Linked DNA regions of Mytilus edulis. The protein of the gene in region 1 binds, or shares a complex with, the protein of each later gene. Links are inferred from orthologs where the notes say so. Each region holds a gene or a part of one and is shown in the gene's direction. Other genes may lie near its edges. The genes, in order: histone acetyltransferase KAT5-like, ruvB-like 1, vacuolar protein sorting-associated protein 72 homolog and mortality factor 4-like protein 1.

Region 1 (7,458 bases):
TCGAGTGCACCTTTTCTTATGTTAGGGTGTGTTTGAGATGAATATTTTGTCTTGAAAATGTACAAAACAAGAGTATTTGATACATCATCTCGATTCAGACTCTATCATTTTATATAGCAAAGCTACAGGTTGACTTTATAACATAAAAAAAATCACAGTACTAAAAGATGAAATATAGGGGTCAAGTGAAATACCTATCCAATGGATCACAAAATCAGAGTAGGTGTGTTCGAATAGCTATTTTACTAAAAGTGCTTGACAACAGTCTTTAAGTTGGATCTCTGAAAAAAAAATTGTCTTCCGTTTCTACGATTGTGAAAATGAACAGATAATTTCGACGAAGTAGAAGCCTGTCTGTATTGTATATTTACAGGTAAGGAAACATGTGAGAATATGTGTCATGTGATGTTTTAAAATTTAGTGTCCTTAACCTCCAACATAACGTCCAATAAAATTTAAGTATGATGTATACAAGCTGAAGCCCCGCCTATCTTAATTACCATGCTTGAGCAAACATTGATACAAACAAAGCAAGCAAGCCAAACAAAGATTTGTCTTGCTAGCATTAATGTAAAAGCTGTAATGAAGAACCAACTACTCATCATGAAGTTCCTGCTTCACATACTTTATGAATTGTGTCGTAGTTCAGAAATAAGATGTGTGTCTATGGCTGAGGGTTGTAACTTGTAATGGGGTACCTTCATGATCAATAACGGTAAAAATTCTTGACAAATGACCTCAAGGATGTATTCTTCTGACTTTTCAGTCTCGTTCAGTCTCGTTGAAATCTCGTTCTTGAATTATTTCCAAAACATGAGATACAAGTGGAAAATATCAATGAATTTTAAAAATATTAATATCAAACATAACTCTGTGAAAAAAGTGTGTATTTACAATGAATGGTTTTTGAGTAATCCAGTTTTCAAATTTTACAACCAATCAAGTCAGTATTTTGTAGCCAAAATTTTGAGAAAATGGGTTAGGGATACAAAAAATGCTATTACAAGAATCATGTACATCCCATATCATTTTGGTGTTTTCAAATTTCTGAAATATGTATTTTTTAATCATTTATAACAAAAAAGTTGAAATAATATGCATTTTGTTCTTAAAACTGAGAAACATCACAAAAATACAAAAAAGACAGAAATTTAACACAAAAAAGCGTCAAAATATGATAAAACTTTCTTATATTAACACCTACCTATAGTTTTTCAAGTAAAATTTATTCAGATTGGTCCACTTCATCTTTAAAGAAAGTATGAAAAAAAGTTTAATTTTGGAACTGTGATTTTTTTCACGATAATAGCCCAAAAATAGATAAAAAACAATGAAAAATGGGAAAATCATCAAAATAAGGCATTTTCAAAGGGCCGTAGCAAAAAAAGAAGTGCACCATCATATGATTTTTTCTTCACCAATTATTTTGTTAGTCATATAAACCCAAAGATCAGGTTAAGAAAAAAAGTTTAATTCTAGACATTTTTTACTCCTTAGACAATGTCAGAGGTGTACATCCTTAACTGTAATTTTTGGTGAAAATTTTGTATGATGATAAAATGTACACTTAACTTTAAGATGATAAAGACTAATTTTGACGAAATTGTAACGGTTTATTTCTTCCTCCGTGATATTTTATCCTGAGGATAATTTGACCCGGTCAATTTTTTCCAGACATGGAATTTCACAGGTTTGATTTTTCCTTAGGAGTGAAAATATATCTGTGTTATGCGGATAGTATGAACCGGTAAATATTTTCCGTTCTATATTTCACAGAACCTTGTGAAATAGAATCCCGCTGACTACTATGTAAGTTACTCGCAATCAATATATACCTGACAATAATTACAAATATATCACAAAGGTAAACAAAATTTGCATATTTCATCAATCAAAGGGAGGTAATTTTGACCAATTTAAATGGTTTTTATAAATTATATTGTGGAAACCCTTTTTTAACAATGCAGACTTTTTGTAAATGACATATATTTTAGGTAGGCAAATCCAGTGTCGGATCATGGGAGGATTCTGGGGGTTGAAACCCAGGGTATTTTTGGACGATTAATGCATAGTTTAATATATTAGATAATTCCCGCGGCACGCAGTAAAGCGTGAATTTATTGTCTTCTCGGTAAGGTATTTCCGAGGCGTAGGAATTTTTGGCGCCAAAAATTGTAGTGGTAAATAGATAGTTATATGAGTATCATTTCTAGCCTTGCGTTCGTACTGTGTACATCAAATTTTTTCATATAAGCATAAAGAATGCTCAATTTGACAATTGTTAATTGTTAATGGTCTGTTATATATAGTTTATATATATATGGTATGGCTATATAGACGTAATCGGATTTGGATTGTATGTTGTCTTATAAATTTTTTATAGCCGTAGTCTTCGGACTAAAACTCCCTTTTATTAAGTTAGATTGAGCATTTTTTGGTACATGAACATTTATGTTATATGAGTGCGGTCCAACACTTAGTTTCGCTTGGCATTGACAAAAGGACGCAGGTTTCCAAAAGGTTTTTCCTGATCGGCCACGAAACAGTACTTTGTGTGTTTTGAATATTGATAATTTGGAAGATGATGGCAAATAGTATTTTGTATATATGTTATGTTGTTATAATATTGCTGTATTGTAATAAAGCGGCAGCTCAGAAAAGATATACGCAGCGAGCTAGTCAACAAAATATACGCAGCGAGCTAGTCAACAAACTTAAGTTTGTAGTTGAGTTATTTTTCTTAGATGCTAAGGTACATGAGTATAGAGAAGACCATCGTATTCTGATCCTTCCATTGCTACTCACTGTTTACAGTAGTAATGACCTTTAATTTTATATTAGTCCTGAAATCTGAAAACAACTCACTTTTACCTGAATTTCACTTATCTTATTTTATGTATATTAAATTAATCATGATGATATTTCACAATAAAGATCTTTAAAATTACTTCTGGTTTTCTTTCATATGTTTCATGATAATTATCTTTTTCATAAGAAATATTTTTACGTCTTGAATATTTCAGGATATTATTTTCAATGATAATCTGTGAAATATTTTCGCTTTAAAATTCACATTTTTTTATCCAATTTAGCATTATATTCAAATATACTTTTGTTATATCACAGTATTTGTCAATAATTAAGTTTTTTAATAACTATTCATTTTTTTAACTACCCGGATATAATTTCACGGCAAAGGAAAAAATTTCCCAGGGAAATATTTTCCTCCGGATAAAAAAACAACAACAACTACTGTGACATTTTTTCCTCGGGATCAAATTTCACCCGGATATAATTTTGCTTTACAAAATCACGTTAATTTTTTTACAAAAATGAAGGTAACAATAATTATTTGAAACCTCTGACGAATCACACTGAATCACAATAAGGGTATTTTGACAAACGGCGGTAAAAATCTAAACACAATTTGATGCTAACTGTATCCAAAAATTACTGTTTGAAGTGTGACGGGATTGCTTCCCTTAGAAAACTTAGTAGATACTTAGTCAGCCGTAAGCAGTTGAGCTAGGGAAGTACTTCTTGAGCTCAGTCGGTTAACACGCTGGCTAGTAACACAGAGGTCCAGGGTTTGAGTCCTGGTGGAGACAAGCAATTTTGTAATGAAATTCATGCTCTCCTGTTACATTGGCGCCCAACAATAAAAACCCACGGTTAGAAGAAATACCTAGTCAGGTAAAAAATAAATATAAAAAAGATGAAGATATCATCATTATAGAGTATAATGACTCTTGAGGTGTGGGAAGTGTGACGGGATTGCTTCCCTTAGAAAACTTAGTAGATACTTAGTCAGCCGTAAGTGGTTGAGCTAGGGAACTACTTCTTTAGCTCAGTCGGTTAACACGATGGCTAGTAACACGTCCTGGGTTTGAATCCAGGTGGAGACGAGCAATTTTGTAATAAAATTTATGCTCTAGGGTTACAGAAGCCTGACGTTAAAGGGCATTACTACCCTCATGGCTATACTATGATCTATGTAAGGATTTGTAAAGTAAGATCTGACTATACAAATCCTTGGTCTATGCAACTTTCAACTTTAATGCAAGCTTATAAAAACTGATTTCATTTTAAAGATTTTAGGCAAAATTTAACCTGTTTTCAAAATCCAAAGTTTCAGCCGGTTCTTCCTTCACACCCACAGCTGAAGCCATAACTTGGTCTTTTATTTATGTACGAAAATCAAAAATAATAAGTCGAAAGGCATGTGGACAAAGTGAAAGTACAAACAGGAAGTTGTGTGTAATTCTAGACTCGCACGCAATAATTCTAACTTAAACTTGTTTTAACTTTTAATAAAATGAAAATTTGTCAATAAAAACAATCGAATGAAGGTATAAATATTTATTTCATTATTACAATTATTACTTTTATTTTTTTTAAAGGAAGCCATGCGTAAAAATTGTTTTGTGCATTCAATGCAGAGCTACAATATGACCGTGATGACGGAAGTGCAGGTCCCTTATATTTTTTCAATTTTGAAGCCTTTAACCCTTATTTTGACCTATTTTGTCATGTCAAGTTATATCTTTGAAATTATTTTTATTTATATTTTTCAGACTGAAATAGTAGAAGGGTGTAGAGTGCCAGTTTTATTGAAGAATGGCGATGGATGGCGTAAGTTATGCTAAGGGAGACAATCAAATCATGTAAACACACAATGGGGTCATAATATGGAACATTCAAATGTGTGCAAATATTTAATGCATTACAGTTATTAAAATATTTATGCTTTGTCTGTTTAAAAAATATAGTTTTGAAACCAGATCCTTCCGTAATGACATGGAAATGATTCTGATTTATGTGACCATTTTTTTCTCAGATTATCCATCATTCTAGTAAAGCTGTATACACCTCATTGCTAATCCAGGCTGACCCGAGAATCTGTCCAGCTTTAACTATTGACGTTATATAACAATCACTTTTCCATTGTGGTATCAGATATTTTGTATTAAGACATCAAAAGAATATGAGGCAGGCATTACCTGTGAAACGGACGAAATCTGTATGCATATTTTTTTTTGTCGTAACGTTTCAGATTTTGGTTCTGATGTTTTTTATGTTATGACGTCATATTCAATGTTAAAAAAGAAACAAAGAAACGCTATCATCAAATTCACCTGACAACTAGACCGGTAAAGAAAGTAGATTTCTGAGCAAATGCAGGAATTTAAAAAAGTCTGAAAATAATTTTGAGCTCATTAGTAGAATGAAAATTTTGGTAAATTTCCTGATTTTTTAAAATTTTGATTTAATTTATTTTATCACATATTACTGGAACCTGTGTGATGTCCAGGATTGAGGAATGGCAGACAAATAGCGATAAGGTGTATAGCAGGGTCTGTATGGGTCCTTGAATCCTGGAAAAGTCATGGATTTTTATTTTTTGGGGGAAAAGGCCTTTAAAAGTCATGGAAAGCTATATTTTAGTGAACAGTCGTGGAAAGTTATTATTGTTTGAACTGTAAACTTTATTAGGTGTCTATAAATATTTTTCATAGTTTTTGTCAAAACTGTTTCCTCAATAGAGCTACAAACAATGTCCCAGTTTGATAGCCAGTCTTGGTAAATGTAAAATGAGGATTTCAAAATTCGCTTCTTCATAATTTTTGGTAAAACTACATGTATATGACTGAAACTGGTTCCCTGTATGTCAAAAATTGTTGCAGTTTGCTTCATTCAATAACATTATCAGTATAAGATACCAGTTGTCGAATATTTTTAAAAATGTCTAGTCAATGATCAGTTGATTCAAGAGAAAAATGCCTGGTTACTGCCATTTTCAGTTTAAATGGTTGGAAAACCCAGAGAGGCAAAGTACAAACAATGGCTGGTGTAAAAAAACAACGGAGAATCTGCATTGAAAAGCCACTGTAAGAGCTCAAAACACATCCAACACTCAACTTAACTGAAAAGTTTCAACATTTTACTACATTATTCAATTGATTCAAATATTTCAAAACTTGAATAAACACTTATACTGATGTGTAGTTCATCCTCTTTCAAAGAATTTATATATTACCCTTTGGTTTCCTGTTTTTTTGGGTATGGAATTTTCATAAAACATCCTTGAAAAGTCATGGAAAAGTCATGGAAAAATGGAACAGAAGAGGCGTATGAACCCTGGTATAGATGATATGATGACTTGCCCTAATTATAGCTGATTTTATGATGACAAGTTATTTTTGTGAAAATCAATAAAATATCGTTCAAACTAAGTCACTTCAAATTTGTTATAATCACATTGATTTCATCACAGAAGGGTACAGAATGCAAATGAGGTATTAATACAAATATAATATAATACAAAAATGGTGCTGATACAATCCCAGTATTTGCTTATTTCACTAACCATTATTAAACACTTCAAATTAAATAAATCACTCTTATATTGGTAATTTTTTAGGACAACTTATATAATTGCTTCACGATAATGACGTCACATATTTCATTGAAAAAGTATGCATAGTACGAATTTATATTATGTCCTACGAAAACATGATCTGACTTTAATGCCCCATGACAATTTTATTTACATCTGCATGTATATTTGTGCACCATTTCTAAAAACCATAAAAAATTCTGCAAAAATTTGACTTCCTAAAAAAAACAATTGAAATTGTTGCAAGACATCAGAAAATTATTTAAAGATAGATATAGGGTCATTCGTGGAAAATTCAGCTGAACACTAAAAAGGGTCATTAGGTCTATATGTAACCATTTTGAGCTCTGTTTGTTATGTTCACCTTATAGGAAATTGAAAAATGAGTTTTCTAATATCTATCCTTAAATAATTTTTTCCTTCATGTAGAATCCTATTGTTTATTTTGGCTTTATTTGTCCATAAGGGAGAAATCTAACAGTAGTATAAAAACATTTTGGTGTTGCATTGAACTTTATAAAGATTTTTACATATTTTATAGACTTTGCTGAGATACTTGGAAAGAAAGAAGTCAATGGAAAGCACATGTTCTATATTCATTATGAAGATTGTAAGTATATTTGCAGTACACGGAAGGTTATTCAATTAAAAGTCAGTCTTGATGGTGATCATGAGTGATTCACTTTGGCATATGTTTGTACATGTGCTACATATGACATGGTCGTAAATTTGAGTACATAACTGAACACCAGCAACAACAGAACAATGAGGTTTTACTACTGTAAAAGTAGAAATTTTCGTTAAGGATTTAATTCGTTTATTTCTTGAAATAATATATCAGCGAAATTAAAAACCCCGCAAAATTTAAACTTCATATAATATAACACTTCCATTTAATGGAAACCATGAAATTTTGACCCCACGAAAATGAATGTTTCTACAGTAATTACCTTTTGGGAATTGTCTTTTCTTATCGTATCTAACTGTCTCAGTTGCATTGTCATAGTGTCCCTTGACTGAAGGAGGTTGTTATTATTTGATACCTATATGATAATCTAATA
Region 2 (7,814 bases), on another chromosome or scaffold:
AATTTAACTGATATTCTCTGTCTAATATTTCATCTTTAGCATTTACACTTTTTAAGATTTCTCGTCTGATATTGACCACTTCCGAATTAGAGGTTTTATCTGGTAAATTATCTGCCTTCTCCAGCTCTATCCTCTGCCTTTCAAGTTCTACTTGTACTTCTTTGGCCTGCTTCAGTAAATTTGATTCATTATCTCTTGTTCTGTTGAAGTAAGATCATATTATAAACAATTATAATACTTAATCAAATTTTATAAAAAAATATTGTAGTTTCCATAAAAACAATTCACATTAAATATGTCAGAAATAAAATATAAGTCCTTTAGGGTTTGTTTGAAATGGGTTTTTTTTATTATTAAGTTAATATCAATATTTTTTTTCTTCAAAACTTGTCAAGACAAAACTGTCAGAAAAAATAATTATCCTTTTCTGGAAAATGGTCTTGCTATACATTCCATCTTTCTTTGGGCTGTTCTAAAATGTTCATGTAGTTGGTGGAGTAGATTTGAGACACTTAAAATTATCAAATATGGGTGGTTACATTTTTCTTAGAATTTTTAATTTTGAGTGGTCAGGGTCTAAAATAACCTACCCCTATGTGTTTGATTCTGGAACAGCCCTTAACTCAAGTTAGGAGACAATTGAAGTAGATAATAATTATATAATTATAAAAAAAATTCCACAGACTTTACAAAAGCCAATTTTTCTATTTTTGAAGTAACTTATTCAAAACATTGACATATCTTCGAAAAATAAAAATAAAAGTACTCACTTTTTCAGAGTTTCATGTAAATCTGTGTACTTTGCTTTCAGATGTGCCAGTCTTGTTCCAGTTAATTTACCATCTTGAAACAACTAGAAATAAAGAATATAAAATACAATGTACTGCTTTATAATGATAAGGAAATTATACTGTAAATGCAGTACACTAACCAAATCTACACTTACCTAAGGACCACCAATTTATACACCTTGTATAACACAAACATGATTAGTCATTTTAGTCTTTAAGGTTTTTTATAGGTTTTTTTGGTATCCTGTAACAAGTAAAAATACATGGACGATTTTGTTCTCTTGTAATTGTAATGAAATTGTAAAACTCTAATTTAAAGATTCTAACCTCGTCAAGACATTGGAATGCAGGACTAGCTGAAACCTCCACCTGACTTTCCTCTTGTTGTACCACTCTAGGAGGAAGTGCAGTCAATGGCTGTGTGTATTTCTGTGGTTCCTCTTCTGTCTCATCTTGGGAATCCTCTGTGGGCTCTGGACTACTCATATCTGTGTAAAAGACAATGAATCTATCAAAATCAAAATTTCTATTGCATTTATATGGTGTTGAATCTCCCTTAAATGCAATATTGAATATATTTGTAATTGACCTTAAACCTGAGGTTATCTTAAGTCTGTCTGACATAAGATGCAATTCTAGATAATTTAATGCATGCTGCCATTTACATGTAAGTGGTATGGTTGACTTCTAAATATGTACATTGTACATGCAAATCTGTCACAAGTGTTTCCAGAGAAGAAGATATACAAGTTAACTATGGTTTACAGATGAATTGACCCTATAATCATGATATGAAAAATTTAAATTCTAGTACAGCTCACACGACCCTTTTGTCAAGGAGAGCTCAAAAAGTTATGGTTTTAATATATAGTTAGAAAGTAAGATTAATACAATGTACTGTGCAAGATTTTTTCTCTCTTCAAAAAGCAGATTCAATCATGATCAAGATTACAGTAATTTGAGTTAGACAAACATATTGAAGTGGGTCCTACCTGCTGCCTGTGAGATGTAATCAGCGACAATCTCCTCAACGACAATTTTATATCCAAAAATCTTAGTGTACCTATCGACGGACCTAGAGCGTTTTATAAGGGGAGGATGGGTAATAACGTACTCCTATTACTAAACCTTAGCGGAATGATCCTGGTACATGTATCTTATTTACATCTATGGTAGCAATTGAATGGCTCTGGTAACAGTATATATCTCTTATGAACAATACTATGACAATAAACAAATAATATAATAATATGCAATTTATTCCCTTACTAAAGCAATATTCTCTTATATGGTAAAAGTATGTGTGTCGAGTTACTACTATCTTTACTGCTTTATAAAGTGTGTTGTCCTATAAGGCCTAAATACTTCGTAAAACCTATTCAGAGCTAATAATTCCAATATAGTCTTCAATTTGTTTTAAAACACCTTGTATTATATAATTTCCAAAAGTGAATTCTGTATCTTCATTTATATAAAGTATATATAGAAATCTGCTTTACCAGTATATGGGTTGTTGGAAACATGACACACTTATGTGTGTTGACACCGTGTCGCAGTGTTGATTTGTACTGAATCAGTATAATTTGCTTAAAGTAAATTAAGGAAAGTTATTGACAATGATAAATTGTAAATAATATTGAAATATTATTTTAACCCTTTTTAATATATTTATGATCCTATATGCTAACCTTAAAACAAGAATATGTAAGCAGCTTTAGTTATTTGAAAGTCGTAGGAATGGCGCCCAGACGAAACGCTTTCGAGACGCGACGGCCATACTTCCATGACGGCCCTAGGATGTGTCGGCCATACCGTCATATCGTCCATGGGACATATCGGCCACACATTGTGAGACGTATCGTCCACACTTTTAAATTTTTTTTTATTGAGTTTATTACATAAAATATAATACAAAAAATAAGTATTTGTTCATAATAATAACATAAATATGATTGTGTAGTACTTTTTTTCTGTACAGAAGATTTTATTTATTCTTGTAAGAGTTATCTTTGCTTGATCATCATCGCTCGTGTTTACAACTTGTTGCGGCCATATTATGTAAGTATATTGATTATTTCTTCATTGTCAGTTGTAAACATTTTCTGAAGAATCATTTTTATTGTAATGTGATATAAAGGCATCATATTTTATATGAATTTTAAACTGTAGGAATGTTGACTGTCGCTGTCAATGACGATATATACATACAAGCACATGTTACAGATCTTTTTATTATATCTGTAAAAAATATATATTATTCTAAACTATACAAATCTTCTCAATCTCAGTCTTGGTGAAATTAAAAACAGGACTCAGTGTAAAGGTTAACTCTAAGGAAGGCAATTCATCAAGTTCGAGTTATATTTGTCATGATCATCAGACACATTGTTTAATAATTCTGATTTTTTTTTCTTTCTTATAGTTTAGAGTCATTCTATTTGCTGAACATCTTTCCAAGACAGAGACTACTGCAGAATTTTCCAATAACATAAGAAATTACCCGTAAAATCTGACAGGAATGTGCACCCGATTGGCTAATTACATGATAAAAGATGGCCAGTTTCATTTTTATCATACTGAATGTTCTTTTTGCTTTGTTCATTGTGTTGAATTGTGTTGAAAACAATTTGTTGACAATTTAAATGTTCTCATTTTTGTGCATTTGTTGATGGATAATTGTATTATGGGCAATCATACCAATATACTCTAGTATAAGAAACAAAAAGATGATATTTTTTTTTAATATATTTTATTTATTCATTCAGTCATACAGATAAACAAATAAACACCAAACATATAAACCTTCTTCATACATACAACATACACAAACCATTCATATATACATTTCGTTCATACATGTAGGACATTCATCTAATATACATTTTTTAAATAAACAATCTCTTACGTTTTCTCTCATATGCTCTTGTCACTCATGCATTTATTCCACTGCATACACATGTCTCCCAATATTTAAACATTTATATTCACAAAAGCACTAAAACATACCAAAATGCACTATATTACGATCATGAAGTCACTACAATTAACACTTAATCAGACTCGTAGTCGGAATCTTCAGAGTCGGACTCTGGGAGGGTCTCTGGTTGAGGAACAGGTGGTGCATGCAGATGGCCTACCGAACGGAGAAAGTCGGATGTTCGGATACTGTCTTCCTCGTACTGGTCCCACAGTGAAGTTAGACGGCCTTGAAGCTGCTTGTATGTGTCTCGTTGATAGCGGCTGAGTTGCTGTTCACTCACAAGCTGCTGTGTGATGGACACGGTCTTGGCTTCCTGTTGGAAGGCTGGCACAATCTTGTAGAAATGGAGGTGGTTGTGGGCAAAAAAAAACCATGGACGATACGTCTTTACAAAGTATGGCCGTTTTTGTACTATGGCCGTTTCATCTTTTCGGGGTATGGCCGTTTCATCCTATGGCCGTCATGGTAGTATGGCCGTTACGTCTTGCATCGGACGAAACAAGACTCAGAACCCGAGTGCTTAGTTGTCGCAAATTCATATGCAAGTACGACACACTAAGACACACTGTGACACACATTTTGTATAAGAATATAGTTGAATTGAGGTTCACTTGTGTGAGTTCTGACATGCAACCTGCACTTTCCCATAGTTCAAATTGTGTCGTAATTTGTCAACAATTTGTCTTAAACGTTAATTTTTGATGCATGACATATAATTCTATTTTCTATCCCCTTTAATTTTAAAAAATGCTGAAAAGATTTATAAAGGATTGGAGTAAGGATATGAGAAGACCTATACAGCTATAGGACGCAAATTCTGGTTGTTGTCTGTTGACATCACTTATCGTTTAGTAATTAATTGTTCTTTTACCTTTTGATTTATTGAAGAAACTACCTCTTTGCTATTCCCAATAGCGTGCAAATGCACGGCTATCTGTTAAAGCTAATAATTACTGTAAATAATTTAGTGTCCAATTTGCTTGTAAATAAATTTGTTTCTATGGGCTTTACGCATGCGCCATAATAGGTTTACATTAAGTCGTAAAATATTTTCTTTTAAAACCGAGATTAAGCAGTTATTCTTTAAGCATCATCTGATTATAAATAAGTCGTTATAGATATATTTTAGAGGTAATTTATTAATATATGCAAAATCATAGAATTTTAGTGTCGTAAAGTATACGAAAAAAATCTGTGTGATTTTAACGTTTTAGAAAAGGAGATTTAAGTTGTAGACAATAAACTTGTTTTTCACGATTGTAGCGTGCCGGTTCGTGTAAAGTTTTGTTTATAGTTGCACTGCGTAGTTATAACTCTGACAAAGAACAAAGATGAAGATCGAAGAAGTGAAGAGTACCACGAAAACTCAACGAATTGCTACACACAGTCACATTAAAGGATTAGGTTTGGATGAAAATGGCTATGCAATTCAGAATGCAGCTGGTTTAGTCGGACAAGAACTTGCTCGAGAGGTATAAATTTCTAGAAAGTTCTAAACATTGTTTTCTGCTGATTAATTATAAGAATACCCAAATTTGAATTTTGAGAACAAAAACATAACACTTGAAAAACCAGTGAAATTCATCTAAATCTTTATTTTTATGCTATAGCCTTAGGTTGTGCTGGACATACACCTTATCACAATGTATTTAGAGATCTGTTCCGCTTGAACTTTTACAGGATTTTTTGTGATGTCCAGTAAAGGCAGACAAACTGTGATAAGGTGTATTGTCGATTTGTAACTAGAACTAACCTAGTAACTAGGTTGTTATACAGAACAGAACAGAACAGAACATATTTTATTTCCAATTAAGGGCCCACAAGGGGCATACAGAGCATACATGAATAAGGCAAAAGAATATTGATTTGCATAGATACATAGATACAAACAATTTTTTACATACAGTTACAATACAATTACTAACTCATATTCACTTTAATAAATTTACCAACAGCATTAAGGACCTGATTGTCTTCACAGTTTAATAAATAAATAAATTTATGCTGATTATCAAGTATAGAAAAATTCGGAATTCTTTGGCAAACAAAGTCAAAGAGAGCATCTCTATCCGATTTAAAATTTTCACAGTTAGTTAAAAAATGGATTTCATCTTCAACACAGCCAGAGGAGCATTTTTTGCAAATTCTTTCATTTCGTGGAATATTTGAAAAACGACCAACTTCAATTTGAAGCTTATGAGCAGAAATACGTAATTTGCATATAGATCTTCTAAAATCAAAGTTCTTAATTAAAGAGAGATAATTTTCATAACCAAAATTCTGCTTAAATTTCACATAATTAAACAGTTTTCCATCAGAAGCTTTATTTTGGCTAGCATACCAATTGCTAATATATTTAGTGTGAATTAATTTACTAGATATGTTCAAAAATTTATATTGTCCGAAATGTTTTACTTCTTGTTTAATTTCAAAAACTTCTAACACTTTTTTAACAAATGAGAACCAAGAAGTTATGTTAGATTTGTGAAGCTCTTGGCTGCATTTATAAGCATCTTTCAATAGACTGAATTCAGTTGTAAGATTTTATATGTATTGTACATGTATGAATATGAGACAGGTTTAAGACAGTCAGTAATATGAGGCAGGTATAACCTAAATATGGGCCGTTTGCTCAAAATGAAATTGTAATAAGATACAATGTTGGTATAAATATTATATCAAGCACATACAGTCAAACATTGGTAAAGCTGACCCTGAATTAACTGGTTTCCCCTCTATTCCAACTAAGAATTAAAGTACGATTTCCCCCCTTCAAAGTTTTTGTTTTTAATAGTCTACAATTTACAATGACAAATACTTTTACATGGAAAATATCTGATGACACAAGTCAATATCTCCCTTTCAAAATGGTAGCCTGTATAAACCACCACTGTCCAAACCAGCCCTTGCATTATCCCAAATCTGGCTGTTTTATACAGGTTTTACTCTAAAGTACAATTGTTTTTAGTACAATCAGTTTATCTCAGTCATATATGAAACCTCAAATTAAAAAAAATGATGTATATGACATTATGTTTTTTATAACTAAATGGAAAGTTTTCTTTATAAAACTTATGTACACATATACTTTTCTCTGAAGAAAATTCTTTTAAATCTTAGAAGAAGTTTACTTTTTTTTAATTGCTTGCTTCCAGGAATCAATATGCTGACATATTTTCCGTATGCAAGTGACCTTAGCACGACCCTTCTCTTAAAAATCAGGTGAACGCAATACGCATGTATCTGTCATGGAAATAAACTATTATCTGATGGTACTTGTTATACACGTGCTCAATATCCATGCTTCTTTGTTTACTATAAGGTGACAATCAAAACATGACAAACAATTAGCTGCCATATTTTCACATCATAACAGACAGAGAGAAAAAAGAAATCGACAATTATACGATATGTTTGCGTGAAAACCTGATAAAATCAATCACAGAAAACTAAGTTGATGATATACACATGAATTGGTTCAAGAATTGGATAAACATAATTTTTCACTAGTCACTCGTTTCATATGTCTTTAAAAAGTACATTATTTTAAATAAATCTTTTACTGTATATCTATATCTCTATTATGGAGAAGACGGAACTAAGTTGAAAAACTTGTGTCTAATCCATTTGTTTTGAACAATAAAATATGTTTAAACTATATACTTCCAGAGACAGAAATAGTGAATTATTATATATATATATATAATTTTATATATAGAGTCTATAAGAATCTACCAACCAGTTAACTTAAGGTGGCTCGGGACTATTCGACTGCGCATAATTTCACGCATGAATTACAAAAGTATTTGTCGTAAATTCGATCTATTTTTTTTAAATATTTTGATTGATTAGAAATGTTAAATCATTGTAGTTTTGTGAATAATAGAATATTTTCGTTATAATCCGTATTTGTTAGAGGGTCAAAAGTAAAATCACAAAAATACTGAACTTAGAGGAAGATCAATTGGGAAAGTCCATAATCACATGGCAAAATCAAATAACAAAACGCATCAAAAACGAATGGACAAGAACTGTCATATTCC
Region 3 (6,893 bases), on another chromosome or scaffold:
TTACCTAACCAGTGTTTTATCATTGTGGTAACGTTAAATCCTTGGATGTAACGATCAAATTAAGGGATGTTTTCGTCTATGACTCTTGGCTGCCTCTGCCTCATTTTTAGACTTATATCTCAAACTTGACATAAGCGGTCATCTCAGTACCAGAATCTATGACAAACGAGATGATTTTAATTTCAAATTATGAATTTCTCCCACCTTAGTAGCAATTTACCAACTTCGCTTTCATACGGGATATACATTTCTCAACTTATTCTGTGTTCAGGAGCATGAAGCTACTACTCAGACTTTGTAAACGATACGAGTGTCTGAGCAGAAATGTGATGAATCAGGGGTATGTTAAAGAACGTCTCGTCTTTTTCTACAAAAAATACTTCGTGTTTTAAAACGTAATTAAAAAAATTAAGAATTTAGAATTGATACTATAAGTTAGAAGAGCATTAGAATTTTAAAAAAAGCTAAAATATTTGTTGGTAATGGGGCTCCTTTTCAAGATATTTTATTTATTTTTTAAAAGTGCAGGAAAAGGCTGACTCAGACTTTTACCTTATCTTTTCATTGGTAATATTTGGGTCTCAAATCAAAAGAAATGAAATCTAAAAATTTCGGTAAATAAATTTTTATGAGCTATTAAAGTCTTATATGGAAAGTAAATGGGTGTTATCGGGTAAAATATTTTACCTTCTATCGAATGAAAAATACAAAGGAGTACAAGAATTTGACACAAATTTCATAACTTCTCCTAAGTACATCCTTAATAACATTTAATAGTATTGTTTTCTTTGTCTTTCTAAATATTTTTTTTACTAATTTTAGTCTTTATTTATAATGTCCATTAGGTGTTGCTCGGTACTTATACATCCCGTTATTGTGTTGTTGTGCTATGGTGAATGTTTGTCTGTATGCCTTTGAGTTTCTTTGTTGACACATTTGTCTCATTTCATAGTGATTAAGATTATAACAAAATGTTGACTGCTGTACCCTTATTTTTGAAAATTTTATCTGTTGTGTGTGTTTTTGTATTCACTCATCGTTGCCAATATAATGGAATTTGATGCGACTGTCATACAAGTGAGAGGTTTAGCAAGCTATAAAAGAAAAGATGCGAGGAAACTTCAAAACGGAAAGTCCCTAATTAAATGGCAAAATCAAAAGCTCAACCACATCAAATGAATGGATAACAACTGTCATATTTCTGACTTGGTATATGTACTTTATTATGTAGAAAAAGGTGGATTGGACCGGGTTTTATAGCTAGCTTAACCTGTAACTTGTACGACAGTAGCATCAAATTCCATTATATTGACAACGATGCGTTATGAAAACAATCAGACATAAGGAATATGACAGTTGTTATCCATTTTTGTTTTGTGTTTGAGCTTTTGATTTAACTATTTGATTAGGGGCTTTCCATTGTGAATTTCCTCTGAGTTCAATATTTTTGTTATTTTACTTTTTGCTTACTTTATTGAATTATGATCGTTATTTACTCGTCTCCTGTTAAACCATTAGGGTCACTGACATCAGAGGTACATTGTGTCATTTCAATGGCTCGTCATAAGACACAATGGTTTCAGCTAGTGAGAGGTTTAGCTAGCTATAAAAACAAGAATTAAACCATGCCGGTACCAAATCAGGAATATGTTGTTTTAAATTCGTTTGATGTGTTTGAACTTTAAACGGTATGTTTACTATTTAACGTTTTAAAAAGTTACCCGCAAGAATCATAATAAACTTCCAAACTTCCACTTTGTTTTTCATTTTTTGACTAAGTGCTGTACCACTATAGGGCACTGAAATTCAAATGTTACAATCAATGGTGCTATCAGATATACTAAGGAATCCGATTGATAATAATTATACTCTAAAGACTTGGTAGCAGTACTCGTCTATTGAGAATATTCAAGCAGTGCATGTACATGGCCTTTCTATTCCTCGAATGATACTCCAAATCCTTATTAAATATAAAAATGCACATGTTAGATGAATGTTCGTGACAAGAACGCTGTTGGCATAGAGAGAAACCACAGACTCTCGTAAAAGGTTATAATATCAGGGCCGTAACTACATTGAGGCAAATGAGGCAAATGCCTCATGTTTTAAATTTAAAAAAAAAAAAAAAAAAACTAAAACAAAAGATTGTCTTCATATCAAATTGTTTTCACTGAAAGTGTCTTGCAAGAAGCAAATTCTCTTCACTCTCTGCCGTCGCCCCTGCATATTTTTCGTAATCCATGTTTCTATTTTACTTTTGGTTTTCAGAGTTGATGGTCTATTGTTTGTACTTCTGTGTCCCGGGTTTGTCTTTTGTTCATTTATTGTCCTACTTAATGACTAGTCTGAGTGTTGATTTTCATTTGTAAACGTGTCACACTGTGAAATATTGCATGTCCACCGATGTCCAGGCATTATGCGAGAAAATATTTTAAGAATATACGATGCTACTGGACACAGAAAAAAGTGGTCGTTTCTGCATGGAGAATTGAACTTGATATCAAAAAATACGAAACTGCCTTCTTGTATATAAAACCATATCCAATTTTTCTTAGTATGGATTGCAAAATTAGGTATTTTTCTGTAGGTGAGATATGCACAGAAGTGATAGATATGTATTATAAATATAGAAAATTGAACATCTTAATCAACAACAAAATTAAAAAAAAATATCTGTATTGTAGCGTTGTCGTTTTTGTATGGATTCGTGTTTGTCGATGTGTTATTTTGGTAGCGTAAATTACGTGAAATCCATATTCAAATGGCACAAAGAAAACAAACCACAACACAAAGTTTTAATTGAAATCACTATGTAATCTGTTAAATGTATATCAGTTTGACATAATAAAACAGTTGAACAATCATCCTAATTCACTAACACAATATTACTCTCAACACTTCTAACTAACAATCTCAAATCTCTCTATTCTCTTTCTATTACACTCTGATCTCTCTCGCATCCCCTTATATACATATTTACAGGCGGTATCCCGACGGTTCCAAAGATAGGGTACCGGGCGGTTCTGTAGATACCGGGCGGTACCTCAACAGTTCTTAAGATTGGCTACCGGGCGGTACCCTGACAGTTTTAAAGATGGGGTTACCGGACGGTACCCCGACGGTTCCAAAGATGGGGTACCGGGCGGTTCTTAAGATACCGGGTGGTGAATTTAAATGAATTATAAATACCGTTCAGATAAATAAAATACTGGGCATTGCGCTATACTGAGAAATGTAATTTAACCCTTATGTATTTAAAATAAAGACATCTTACATAATAATAATTATACTGTCAAACTAAAATCGCTACAGTATCATATATCCAAGCGCCTGTGCATAAAACTAGATAGCTGACATGGTTTAAATTAAAGTAAGACCACCAATTTCCCGGTATCAAATCATTTGTTGAAAAAAACATCAATGTATTGCCATATGACCTTTTTCACAATATCTAAAAATTCCCGAAATAACACGGTTTACCGTTTAGTTTTAGTCAACTCAAGACTCCTGAAATCTTAGAGTTTAACACAGACCTTTAGATTCTATATCTGCACATTATACTGTAATCTGCAAATAAAAGTCTGGGTTAACAGGGGGTCAAGTAGTATGTAATGTCATTATGTTTTACATTGTTATAAATTGTTAAGTCAAATCGGTGTACCTGAATAAGCTTATCGCCACCGTCAAACATTTTAAATGTTTAATGACAATTAATAGAATTAAAATTAACTACGCACTTGTCGCAAATGCGCAATAATTCATTACATATGCATTTATTTTATATAAGAAATATTAGGGCATATACATTTTTAAAAGGTGGGATGAGTCTCCGAGAACTTCATTTTTGTAAATGTGAAAATCTACGTAATTTCGGGTTTGTGCCGTGATTGGCTTTAATATTTCAGCGAAAGCCTCGTTTCCTGTTGAAAAAGAATTCGATAAAACAAAAAAGAACTGATTCTAACATTACATTCGGTATATATTTATGCAAATCCTATCAGAGTTGGTAAACATATTTTGTAACAGACCTCTTCAAAACATGTAAGTTCTGTGCAGGGTTCTTCAATAGCCTGCACAATCTACACACAAATTCGCGTTTTTGAAAATACAGCAAAATTTTCAGATTTTACACAGGCACTTGTTTCTGCCAATGTGGGGTTAACTAATCACACCCGTACGGTCGATTTTTCGTAAAACAGGCAAATTCGTTTGGAATGAGGAAAATATTTATAGAATAAGCAAAAAAACACTGGCTATCAACCAATCAAAATTTAGCATCTATATAAGGTGTAATTGTAATGATATATACCTGTAAGATACTTGTAATATCGTTTGTGGGGCTCATACGTAAGGATGCTATTCTTTTATTATGTTTTTTGGTCAGTGCCTTCGTTCGTTCGTCCGTCCATTCGTCCGTCCGTCCGTTCGTCCCACTTCACGTTAAAGTTTTTGGTCGAGGTAGTTTTTTTATGAAGTTGAAGTCCAATCAACTTGAAACTTAGTACAAATGTTCCCTATGATATGATCTTTCTAATTTTAATGCCAAATTAGAGGTTTTCCCCCATTTTCACGGTCCACTGAACATAGAAAATGATAATGCAGATGGGGCATCCGTGTACTGGGGACACATTCTTGTTTAGCATATGTACAGATGTATATGCATGGCAAAATTGTGCCGCTCTTTAGGTGTGCTTTTTTTAATTGTTTAAAAATATACAATTGGCAAATGGAGATAAAAAAAAAAGACTCTGTAGTGATACTATTTGACTTATTTTGGTTCTTTACATTTAGCTAATGTCGTAATGATACAATTGTACAACTTGTTATGATTTTATATCTATAAAAGTATGTACACTTTTGGTATTTAGCTGTACTTTGCCTCCCAATGACCTTAGATCTACTCAGAATCACCTTTGACCTCAAGCAACAATCATCTTTATTGTGGCGTAGAATATAGATATACAATGTAGGAAGATGTGGTGTGAGTGCCAATGAGACAACTCTCCATCCAAATAACAATTTATAAAAGTAAACCGTTATAGGTCAATGTACGGCCTTCAACACGGAGCCTTGGCTCATACCCAACAACAAGCTATAAAGAGCCCCAACATTACTAGTGTAAAACAATGTTTTGAATTTAGATGTCAAAGTTTACCGGAACCTGTGTGATTTTACGTAATGGCAGACAAATTGCATATGTCAACTCAAGTGTCAATGCATCTATTTTTACAACGCATTTTGATTGGTTCCTTTATAAAAAGGAAGCTAATGGTTGTAATGCAATAGGGGTACCTTCATGTGGAATAATAGTAAAAATTCTTGCCAAATGACGTTAACATTAATTTTTGGTTCATGACGATAAAATGTACATTTTCCTTTACATGTAGATGATGAAAATAAGTTGACTGAATATGACGAATCATGTTAAATTTTTTTCAAAAAATATAACAGTAAAGATAATCATTTGACACCTCTGAGGAATCATAAGAAGTATGTTTTGATGAATCATAGTAATATTTTAACTAATTTGATGCTATAAATGTATATATCTGATGCAGAGAATGACCGTTTGACGCCTAACTGTAAAAGTCTCTGAGGCCTAGTGGTCTACATGTAAGTTATGAAACTACTGGATCACTAGACTGTTAACACAATGATGTGAGCTCAAATCCTGCATATGGCAGATGCATTTGACTTCAATCTTAATTGACTAGGATTGTCAGTTTTCCTTTCAAAGGTCATTCTAAGGTTCTCTCCATGCAAACTGCCTTCCTCTACCAAAAAAAAATTATGGCCATTAAATAGCACAATACTGAATAGTACTGAAAGTAGTGTTAAACACCTATCAATCAGTTGAAGGGAATATTTTCAACTATACTAACTACATTAATATATTTTTAATGTACTATTTGGCTTCCTCTACCAATAAAAACTGACAGCCAGGAAATAGCACATTAGTGCTGAAAGTGGCATTAAACACCAATCGATTAAGTCATGTAAGTGGAATATTTTCAACTAGTATTAACTTTTACTGTGAACCAAATGTATAATTCTTCTTAGAAGGAATAAGAATTCAAACATTGTCAAAAAAGAATAGTTTTTGGAAAATGACGCAGTCATTGTTCCATTACTGGCGACCTGAACTTCATTACATTTCTCTGCCTACCGCGCTTGGTTTCGTATTTACTATTTTTCATACAAACTGGAATCTGCTTGTGTTATCATTATGCATGATCATTGTGTAGTAATCAGCCAGGAACCAGTTTACAAACTAACTGGTTTCTGCTTGTATTTCACTACACTCGAACAAAGTGTTGTAGTTTGACAGGAACCAGTTTAGAATTTGTAAACTACAAAACGTAATCGGTTATTGATCATACCGTTTTGGTGTTTCATACCGACTTATATGGTTTGAATAAGCTTAAGCCCCTTCAAACATTAATGTGATAGGTATATTAAAGACTGTTTTACAAAAGGATGGAACTGTTTTGCTTTCAAAGTCGTACTATAGTGATATCTGTTATGTAAGGATTTCCACTCTCACCGGTTAATTTCTTCTTTTACACGTGCTTTTGAAACTTCCTGTTTAAACATCGCAAGTTTTAAAATTGTTTTTTGAGTGAATTAAACTTATTGAAACAATCATGAAGCGTTCCAGAATCATTTTCAAGCAGTTTCTTTTTCTCTTTGATGATGGAAAATATGTTTTCTCAAGAAAATACCGCAAACGATCACAGAGGAATTGAAACGTACAAGTCAAGTCGGCACCTGAATAAATTGGCATCTAGTCAAATCGGCACCTATTTGACGTCAATTCGGCATCCAATAATATTTGTTATAATATTTTCTATTCATTTAATTAATAACAGGTACCAAGTACATAGTGAATTTCA
Region 4 (7,821 bases), on another chromosome or scaffold:
TTATGCATGGTTTCTACTCTGCATTTCTTTTATATTAACCTGTATGCTCAAGTGTTGAGTGTTCTAGAGAGATGTCCAGGTTGACACATATTCGCTTAGACTCATCATGATGGACTACTGTTAGATTTGTTACAGTCAGTCCTGTCTACGTAATTCTTTATATATAATAAAATTGAGAATGGAAATGGGGAATGTGCCAAAGAGACAACAACCAGACCATTGAAAAAAAACAACAGCAGAAGGTCACCAACAGGTCTTCAATGTAGCTAGTCCAAATAATTATGACGTCTTGAAAGGCTATTATAATTTTTTTCTTTGACGCCTTAGTCGAAGTAATTTTAAAGGCGTCAAAGAAAAAAAATTATAATAGCTTTTCAAGACGTCATAATTATTTGGACTACAATGTAGCGAGAAATTCCCGCACCTAGAGGCGTCCTTCAGCTGGCCCCTAAACAAATATATACTAGTTCAGTGATAATGAACGCCATACTAATTTCCAAATTGTACACAAGAAACTAAAATTAAAATAATACAAGACTATAAACAAAGGCCAGAGGCTCTTGACTTGGGACAGGCGCAAAAATGCGGATGGGTTAAACATGTTTGTGAGATCTCAACCCCCCCCTTTATACCTCTAGCCAATGTAGAAAAGTAAACGCATAACAAATACGCACATTAAAATTCAGTTCAAGAGAAGTCCGAGTCTGATGTCAGAAGATGTAACCAAAGAAAATAAACAAAATGACAATAATACATAAATAACAACAGACTACTAGCAGTTAACTGACATGCCAGCTCCAGACTTCAATTAAACTGAGGCTGAAAGATTATGATTTCATCATATGAACATCAGGCACAATCCTTCCCGTTAGGGGTTTAGTATCATACCATCATAACATATATGAGAAGAACATAACCCGTGTCATGCCAACAACTGGTTTTTTAATAAATGTGTTTAGTTCCGATGCAAAGACCCTATATAAGTGAATCAATATTAACGCCAACATATGCAATCTTTAATGACCTGACAACAGTATCGTAACTATATCCCTTCTTAATAAGTCTATTCAAAGGTTTTGTTAGTTTTTGAGGTGAATACTGACACCTTTGTGCTTTATAAAGAATATTTCCATAAAAAATTGGATGTGAAATACCTGAACGTATAAGAAGTCTGCATGTTGAGCTATATTTACGAATGATGTCCATATACCAATGATAAAATTACTATAGTAAATGTTTTGACTAGTTTGTGATATCGAAAACCCGGGTGTAATAATTTTTCAGTAATACATACATTTCTCTCGTTAAAATCTAAAACATTGTTACATACACGAGCGAATCGTACAAGTTGAGATATATAAACACCGTAAGATGGTGACAAGGGAACGTCACCATCTAAAAATGGATAATTAACGATAGGAAATGAAAAATCATCTCTTTTATCATAAATTTTAGTATTCAGCTTTCCGTTAGTGATATAAATATCAAGATAGAGGAAAGGGCAGTGGTCATTGTTAATATTAGCTTTATTTAAAGTAAGTTCAACAGGATAAATTTCTTTAATATACATACTGAAGTCGTCATTATTGAGAGCCTAAATATCTAAAAGTATTATTAAATCTGTTTATAAGATGTTGTTTCGATGGGTCTTTGCTTATTTTTGTCATGAATTGTAACTCATAGCAATACAAAAACAGGTCCGCAATAAGTGGTGCACAGTTAGTCCCCATTGGAATACCGATAATCTGACGGTATACGGAATCCCAAAAGCGAACAAAAATGTTATCTAGTAAAAATTCAAGGGCATATATAGTATCAAAGCATGTCCAATTGACATAGTTTTTTTTGTTTATTGCTACTAAAAAAATACCTAAAAGAGTTTGAACATATATATTCACATTCTGACTTTTTAAATGCCCATTTAATTAGGTGTGTGAATTTTTCTTAATGAGAATGTGAGGCAATGTGTATACAGGGTAGAAAAATCAAAACTTTGAACAGATTCAAAATCACCAATATAAGCATGCAATTTATCAAGTACTTCCAACGAGTTCTTGACACTCCAAAAGTAATTAATTCCACTATTTTCGAAGGCCTTATTTGAACAATTTATTATCAGGGTTTTAATTGTACCAAGTGTGCTGGTAAGAAGAATAGACAATTTAGTAGTGGAACAATGGGTCAACATTGCTGCAAGTTTTGTTAATCTAAAATCGATTTTACATATATCCATATAGGTAAATCAATTTTTCCCAAATTAAGTTAAGAAGGGGGGTAAGGGGGTTAGCGAAAAAACTATGTGAATTAAGTTTTTTATCCTACATTGAACTTTTGATGTCGTCCCTTACAGATGTCGTTTTCTGAAAATGCTATATAGAAAACTTTTTAAATATATGAGTTGCTACTTTTATAGTGATCATGATTTATATAGCAGCATGTTTGGTCCGCTTTTTTCTATATAAACTTGCCATATTTTCTTCGAGCCAACCTAGCCAGGACAGTATATTGTCAGTTATCCTCTTCCCAGGAGATTACAACACAAAACCCCCAATATGTAGAGTTTTCATCTTGATAAACACGTATGAATATACTACATTTAATGTTCGTAATTGTAGTTGTAGATTTTAACAACCTTTATTTAAGGGCATATTACTGAGCTACGAGATAAAGAAAAAATAAAAAATGATTTTTTTTTTGTTCAGTGATTACAGTTAAAATAAAAAGCATGCGAACCAAGAGTTTGTAAATGCCTTGCTTGCCAACTTTGTTTGGTTGTTTGCTCAGGCATTGTAATTAAGATTGACACCTGAATTCAAAGGAGAGGCGGAGAAACAGTTTGTTTACTATATAAAAAAATAGTTGGTTGGACAATGGATATTACATTGGAAACAATTTTGATATTAATTGACCAATAAAACCTTTGTGTATAGTAAACAGACTGTTATATATACTCCACCTGGCTACCCATTGAATTTAGGTGTTAATCTTAATTACAACTAGAACACACCCGTGATATCGCGGGTCCGTGACTGAATTAAAGTATATAACTATGCGCAAGCCTTATCTTTGTATTAGTACTGGCATCTGATAAAGTCATGCCGATTATAAGATACACAATTTTCTCTGCTTTCAAATCTTTCTGTTTGAACCCGTCGAACTGGAACTTATTAATTATGGGTAATATTAATTATTTGGAAAACAAAAGGTCCTGGTATGGAGTATTTTTTAATCTTCAGCATTGTCCTATATTAGTTATAAATAAAGTTGAACTCTTTGATTCGCTGTTTTACGTCATGCCCGCTAACAAATTGAAACTTATTTTTAGTCCAGATTTTTAGTATTCGTATTGTTATCTTAGAAAGTCTTACGGATTAAAATACTACAATAGGTAACAATTTGACAATTTAGTAGTGTCAACCCTGTGATTATGACCCGTGTATAAAGCATATTAATCCTGAATACACCGTTTGGTGGTGCGCCTGTCAGATGCGTAACGTACAGATAAGGTAATAGGTAACATTTGATTATACTATTGGTATCGGTATCGGAATCGACCCGGAACTTCCTAATTATTGGCAATATTAATTACTTGGAAAACAAAAGGGCCTGGAGTGGCGTAATTTTTAAACTACACATTTGTACTTTATTAGTTGTATATAAAGTTGAATTCTTTGATTCGTCGTTTTTACGTGATGACGGCTGACAAATTGGACCTCGTAATTTTAGTATTATAGATGTCTGAGCAAAAAAAAAAAAAGTTGGCAAGCAAGGCATTTATATTCTTGGTTTGCATGCTCTATTATTTTAACTGTAATGAAAGTGAAATAGCGAGTGATAATTCGCTTTTAGAATTGCAGCCAATTTGGTTCAATTTGGTCAGGCAAAGAAAAGTAGGACTGGATCATATCGCTGATTGATTATTCACGTACAATTTAAGTGATTAATTCGACATCATTGAATCCGTAATTACCGGGTATGTGATCTTTAATCAAACATCTCTGCTAAAGATTGGCAACACTTGTATTCTGAGCTATTGCAAAGGAATAGAATATTGTTAACCATTTTGTTAACATTGAGTGTTAAATAAGGATGAACCATTATACTGACTAATTCAAACCACAAAAAAAACCTCCTCTTATTCAAGTAAAGCGGTGAATGGCATACTTTTTAATCTCCGTATGAAATATAACAGACCGCTAGAAAATCCAATTGCACATGGTCGCTATCTATTTATATTCCTATCAGGTTTTATAACGGCCGTCGGCAGTCTTCGGAGATCATCTCTGTGGTTAATTAGACGACATCTAAAATATGTTGAAACATATCATTGTATCCATGTTTAACCAATGAGAACACTGGGAAAATTTGCAGAATATTTTAAAAGGAGAAAAATACAAAATTGAATAAAAAAAAAGGGAAGATCAAATGAAGAATAGAGAATAATTTGGCGCTAAAATATAAAGAAAATAGACTATGGTCAAAATAAAGCAAGAATAGAGAAAATGTACATAATGACTTAAAGAATACAGATATCAAAGGTCTCAAGACTCTCTTGTATACTTTCTCGTGAAATTGTGTTCAAAGATCTTCAAAGTTGCCGGATATATTTTTTTTAATTTTTAATTGCATTTTGACCAAAACAATTTTTGGTCAAAATGCAATTAAAAATTAAAAAAAATAAATGTTTTAAACTGTAGACCATTCTGTTCAACTTTTTAAATCCGTTTCAATTTTAAATCTATTTTGAGCTATTTTTGAGAAATAACTTAGAATACTGTATCAATTTTTATTTCCGTCTTTTTTTACTTCCGTGTTTTAGACAGTCTCAAATTATTTCACACACAAATTGATGACGTAAACACATGTGCAAACATTTTCCCTAAACTATCTAAGCTTGGATAAACGAAATGCCGCCTAAATATAAGTTCCAAGAAGGTAGTTGATGCAATAATTAAGTAATTATATGAATCTGACATTTATAAATAGACATGCATCCTGTCTTTTCGCTGCGATAGATTTTTGTTTTGTTACAATTCCAAAAATTATACAAACACAACAAATTTATCTCGCTTACACCAAAAAGTCACAGGCACTTGTTTCTATCTATGTGCGGTTTACTTTCCACACCCGTACGAAAAATAACATTGCCAGAAACAAGTGCCTGTGCAAACAATCCAGAAAAATTACCCCCCTTTTCCCCCTTTTACATGTCCTCTAGAATATTTATCTGTTTAGCTATAAATGACTTATTCCAGGAAGATTTTACAAGTGAAAGATGTGGAAGGAACATATATTTTAAAATCCATTTCGACATTTGTAAATTGTGCATTTCACTATTTTAGTATTTGTCTGCTATTACTGGACTTTTCAAAGGTTCCCTTATAATTTTGGCATTATAATAGAAAGTATCTGACACCACAAAGAAAAAATGATTGTTGTATGACATCAATAGTTCAACAGGCACAGGTCTTGGGTTAATCATGTTAATTGGTGCAACAATTAAAGGTGTATTGTACTGTTTTCATTATTCCATTTGGAAATCAGAGATGCACCTTTGCTTGAAACCATATAGGACTTGCACTTGGCTGGGTCTGTCAATAGAACAGGAACAGAGTTATTTGTAATCGAAACCATAAGATTTTATTCTACCGGTTTTGACCCATCCACATTCTTTGTGTGTCTGACCGAAGTCAGGAGCCTTTAGTTCAGCTGTTGTCTTTGTTTTATGTCTGTCATACTTGTTTTTATGCCTCATCTACAAAAGTAGAGGGGCATCATGTTTTTTGGTCTGTGCTTTCGTTCATTGTCCGTCTGTCCCGCTTAAGTTAAAGTTTCTGGTCAAGGTAGTTTTTGATGAAGTTAAGGTTCATCATAACAAGTGGACAAATGTGGCTGTATTTTCACCTCAAAAACTACTCTGTGTACAGACTTACCTGTGCTGTTTGGAAAGTTTTAAGGCCTAGCATCCACTAGATATATAAAAGTTAAATTCATTTTATGTTTAAGAAAGATAACATCTTTCTTGGTTTTTGATGGGCATTTTTTTTCCTTTCTGCAGAAGGTGTAAAAATAAACAAACATCTGAATTACTTTGATACTGTCCACTCACTGACTCAGATAAACTCTTTAACTCACCTGTAGTTGTGAAGATACCTCTTGTCCATGTCAATTAAGGACAATCAAAACAATACAAACCGGTTTTTTACCTGAGGGAGCATCTCAAAGTTGTACCACTTTGAACTTAGTTAATTTTCACACCTTATGCATGAAGGAAAAAAATGCCCATCAAAATCCAAAAGAGATTTTATCTTTCTGCAACATAAAATGCATTTATCTAGTGGATGCTAGGCATTAAAACTTTTCCAACTTCACAGGTAAGTCTGTACTAAGAGTAGTTTTTGGCATGTAAATACAGCCATGTTCGTCTGTTTGTCATGATGAACCTTAAAGTCCAAAAGTCCATTCAACTTGAAACTTAGTACACAAAAAAAAAAAAACAACTTAGTACACAAGCTCACTAAAATATGATCTTTCTTATTTTAATGCCAAATTAGAGTTTTGATCCCAATTTCAGGGTCCACTGAACATAGAAAAAGAGAGTGTGAGTTGGGCATCTTTGTACATGTAGTTCTATCATGACTATGGACACTGTCTTGTTTTCCATTTTTTCAAATTGTTTCTTAAAGAGTCAGAATCTTTTGTAGTTATTTTTATACATAGTAGCCACTTAATGGATCATTAATTTAATATTGAACATGCATGTTGATGATTTGGTGAAATATTAGTAAACATGAAAGTAACAAATATAATATTTTTTACAGGAGAGAAAGTTCTTTGCTTCCATGGACCTTTATTATATGAAGCAAAGGTATGTATCTGTATTTCTCTAATTTTTGTGCTATATTCACATTTCATGTTCGTTGTGAGAAAAGTATTTCTTCTCTGCAAATGATTGGTCGAAATTTAATTGTGAAGTCAAATTTTCTTGGTTTCTTCTGAATTTTCTATTGTGACAACACGAAAAAAGGCAACCATGCTTAATGATGTCACATATAAAGAACACAGTTTTCTGCAAATATTTGAAAAAGGAACAAGTTTAAGCCTCCTGTTAATATTAGAATTTATCAGTTTTTTTTTTTTTTTAAGGTTTACATATTTTATTGAAATCTTTACATTTGTTAGTTTATCAGTTTTTATCAGTTTTGAGGGGAGAAATATCGTAACATACTTGTTACAACAGTGGAATCTATATTTCTCTTCTTATGCTATTTAGTTATGATGCACAAACTAATGTGTATACATTTGCTGTAAGATTTCTGTGATTGGCAGCACATTCAGAGTAATGTGTTCTTATTATTTTAGTATTGGTTCTACACTCTCCCCATGTCACAGAATATAAGTTCTGTCATAACATTTATTCCAAAGATAATTTATTATGTAACAAAAGTTCCAATTGGAATTATTGTTATGTGATATTTATTCAATCAACATAATAAAATGACCGATGCCTCGGAATTTTTATCACATAAAATATATTCCAATAGGAAGTTTTATTACATAATAAATTATCTTTGGAATAAGTATTATGGTGGAATTTTTATCTTATGACTGGTATAACATTTTGACTTTTATCATTTTGACATATCACTCATTAAAATGAAAAAAATGATAAAATCTTATGTTATATTTATTCCGATTGGAAAAAATATTATGTAATATATATTCCGATTAGAAAAAATATTATGTAATATATATTCCGTACGGAAAAAATATTATATAATATCTTTTCCGACCAAAAAATATTACTATATTTTATCCATA

Evidence for each region.
Region 2: histone acetyltransferase KAT5-like (region 1) and ruvB-like 1 share a complex: the UniProt entries of both Homo sapiens proteins name them as parts of the SWR1-like complex. The link is inferred for Mytilus edulis from reciprocal best matches to the Homo sapiens genes KAT5 and RUVBL1.
Region 3: histone acetyltransferase KAT5-like (region 1) and vacuolar protein sorting-associated protein 72 homolog share a complex: the UniProt entries of both Homo sapiens proteins name them as parts of the nuA4 histone acetyltransferase complex. The link is inferred for Mytilus edulis from reciprocal best matches to the Homo sapiens genes KAT5 and VPS72.
Region 4: histone acetyltransferase KAT5-like (region 1) and mortality factor 4-like protein 1 share a complex: the UniProt entries of both Homo sapiens proteins name them as parts of the nuA4 histone acetyltransferase complex. The link is inferred for Mytilus edulis from reciprocal best matches to the Homo sapiens genes KAT5 and MORF4L1.

The regions. Positions count from the first base shown.
Region 1 is NC_092346.1:17,925,641-17,933,098, reverse strand, and holds the start of histone acetyltransferase KAT5-like, read left to right. Parts: upstream 1-4,432; 5' UTR 4,433-4,433; coding exon 4,434-4,472; intron 4,473-4,574; coding exon 4,575-4,632; intron 4,633-6,938; coding exon 6,939-7,007; intron 7,008-7,458. Other genes in the region: DNA-directed RNA polymerase III subunit RPC6-like, read right to left, coding at 4,111-4,169. UniProt on the Homo sapiens protein: Catalytic subunit of the NuA4 histone acetyltransferase complex, a multiprotein complex involved in transcriptional activation of select genes principally by acetylation of nucleosomal histones H2A and H4.
Region 2 is NC_092344.1:87,608,054-87,615,867, reverse strand, and holds the start of ruvB-like 1, read left to right. Parts: upstream 1-4,812; 5' UTR 4,813-5,102; coding exon 5,103-5,243; intron 5,244-7,814. Other genes in the region: coiled-coil domain-containing protein 146-like, read right to left, coding at 1-200, 771-853, 1,119-1,277. UniProt on the Homo sapiens protein: Possesses single-stranded DNA-stimulated ATPase and ATP-dependent DNA helicase (3' to 5') activity; hexamerization is thought to be critical for ATP hydrolysis and adjacent subunits in the ring-like structure contribute to the ATPase activity.
Region 3 is NC_092344.1:122,279,718-122,286,610, forward strand, and holds the start of vacuolar protein sorting-associated protein 72 homolog, read left to right. Parts: upstream 1-3,881; 5' UTR 3,882-3,975; exon of another isoform or gene 3,976-4,041; intron 4,042-6,893. UniProt on the Homo sapiens protein: Deposition-and-exchange histone chaperone specific for H2AZ1, specifically chaperones H2AZ1 and deposits it into nucleosomes.
Region 4 is NC_092347.1:28,692,858-28,700,678, forward strand, and holds the start of mortality factor 4-like protein 1, read left to right. Parts: upstream 1-4,820; 5' UTR 4,821-4,907; coding exon 4,908-4,935; intron 4,936-6,821; coding exon 6,822-6,868; intron 6,869-7,821. UniProt on the Homo sapiens protein: Component of the NuA4 histone acetyltransferase (HAT) complex which is involved in transcriptional activation of select genes principally by acetylation of nucleosomal histones H4 and H2A.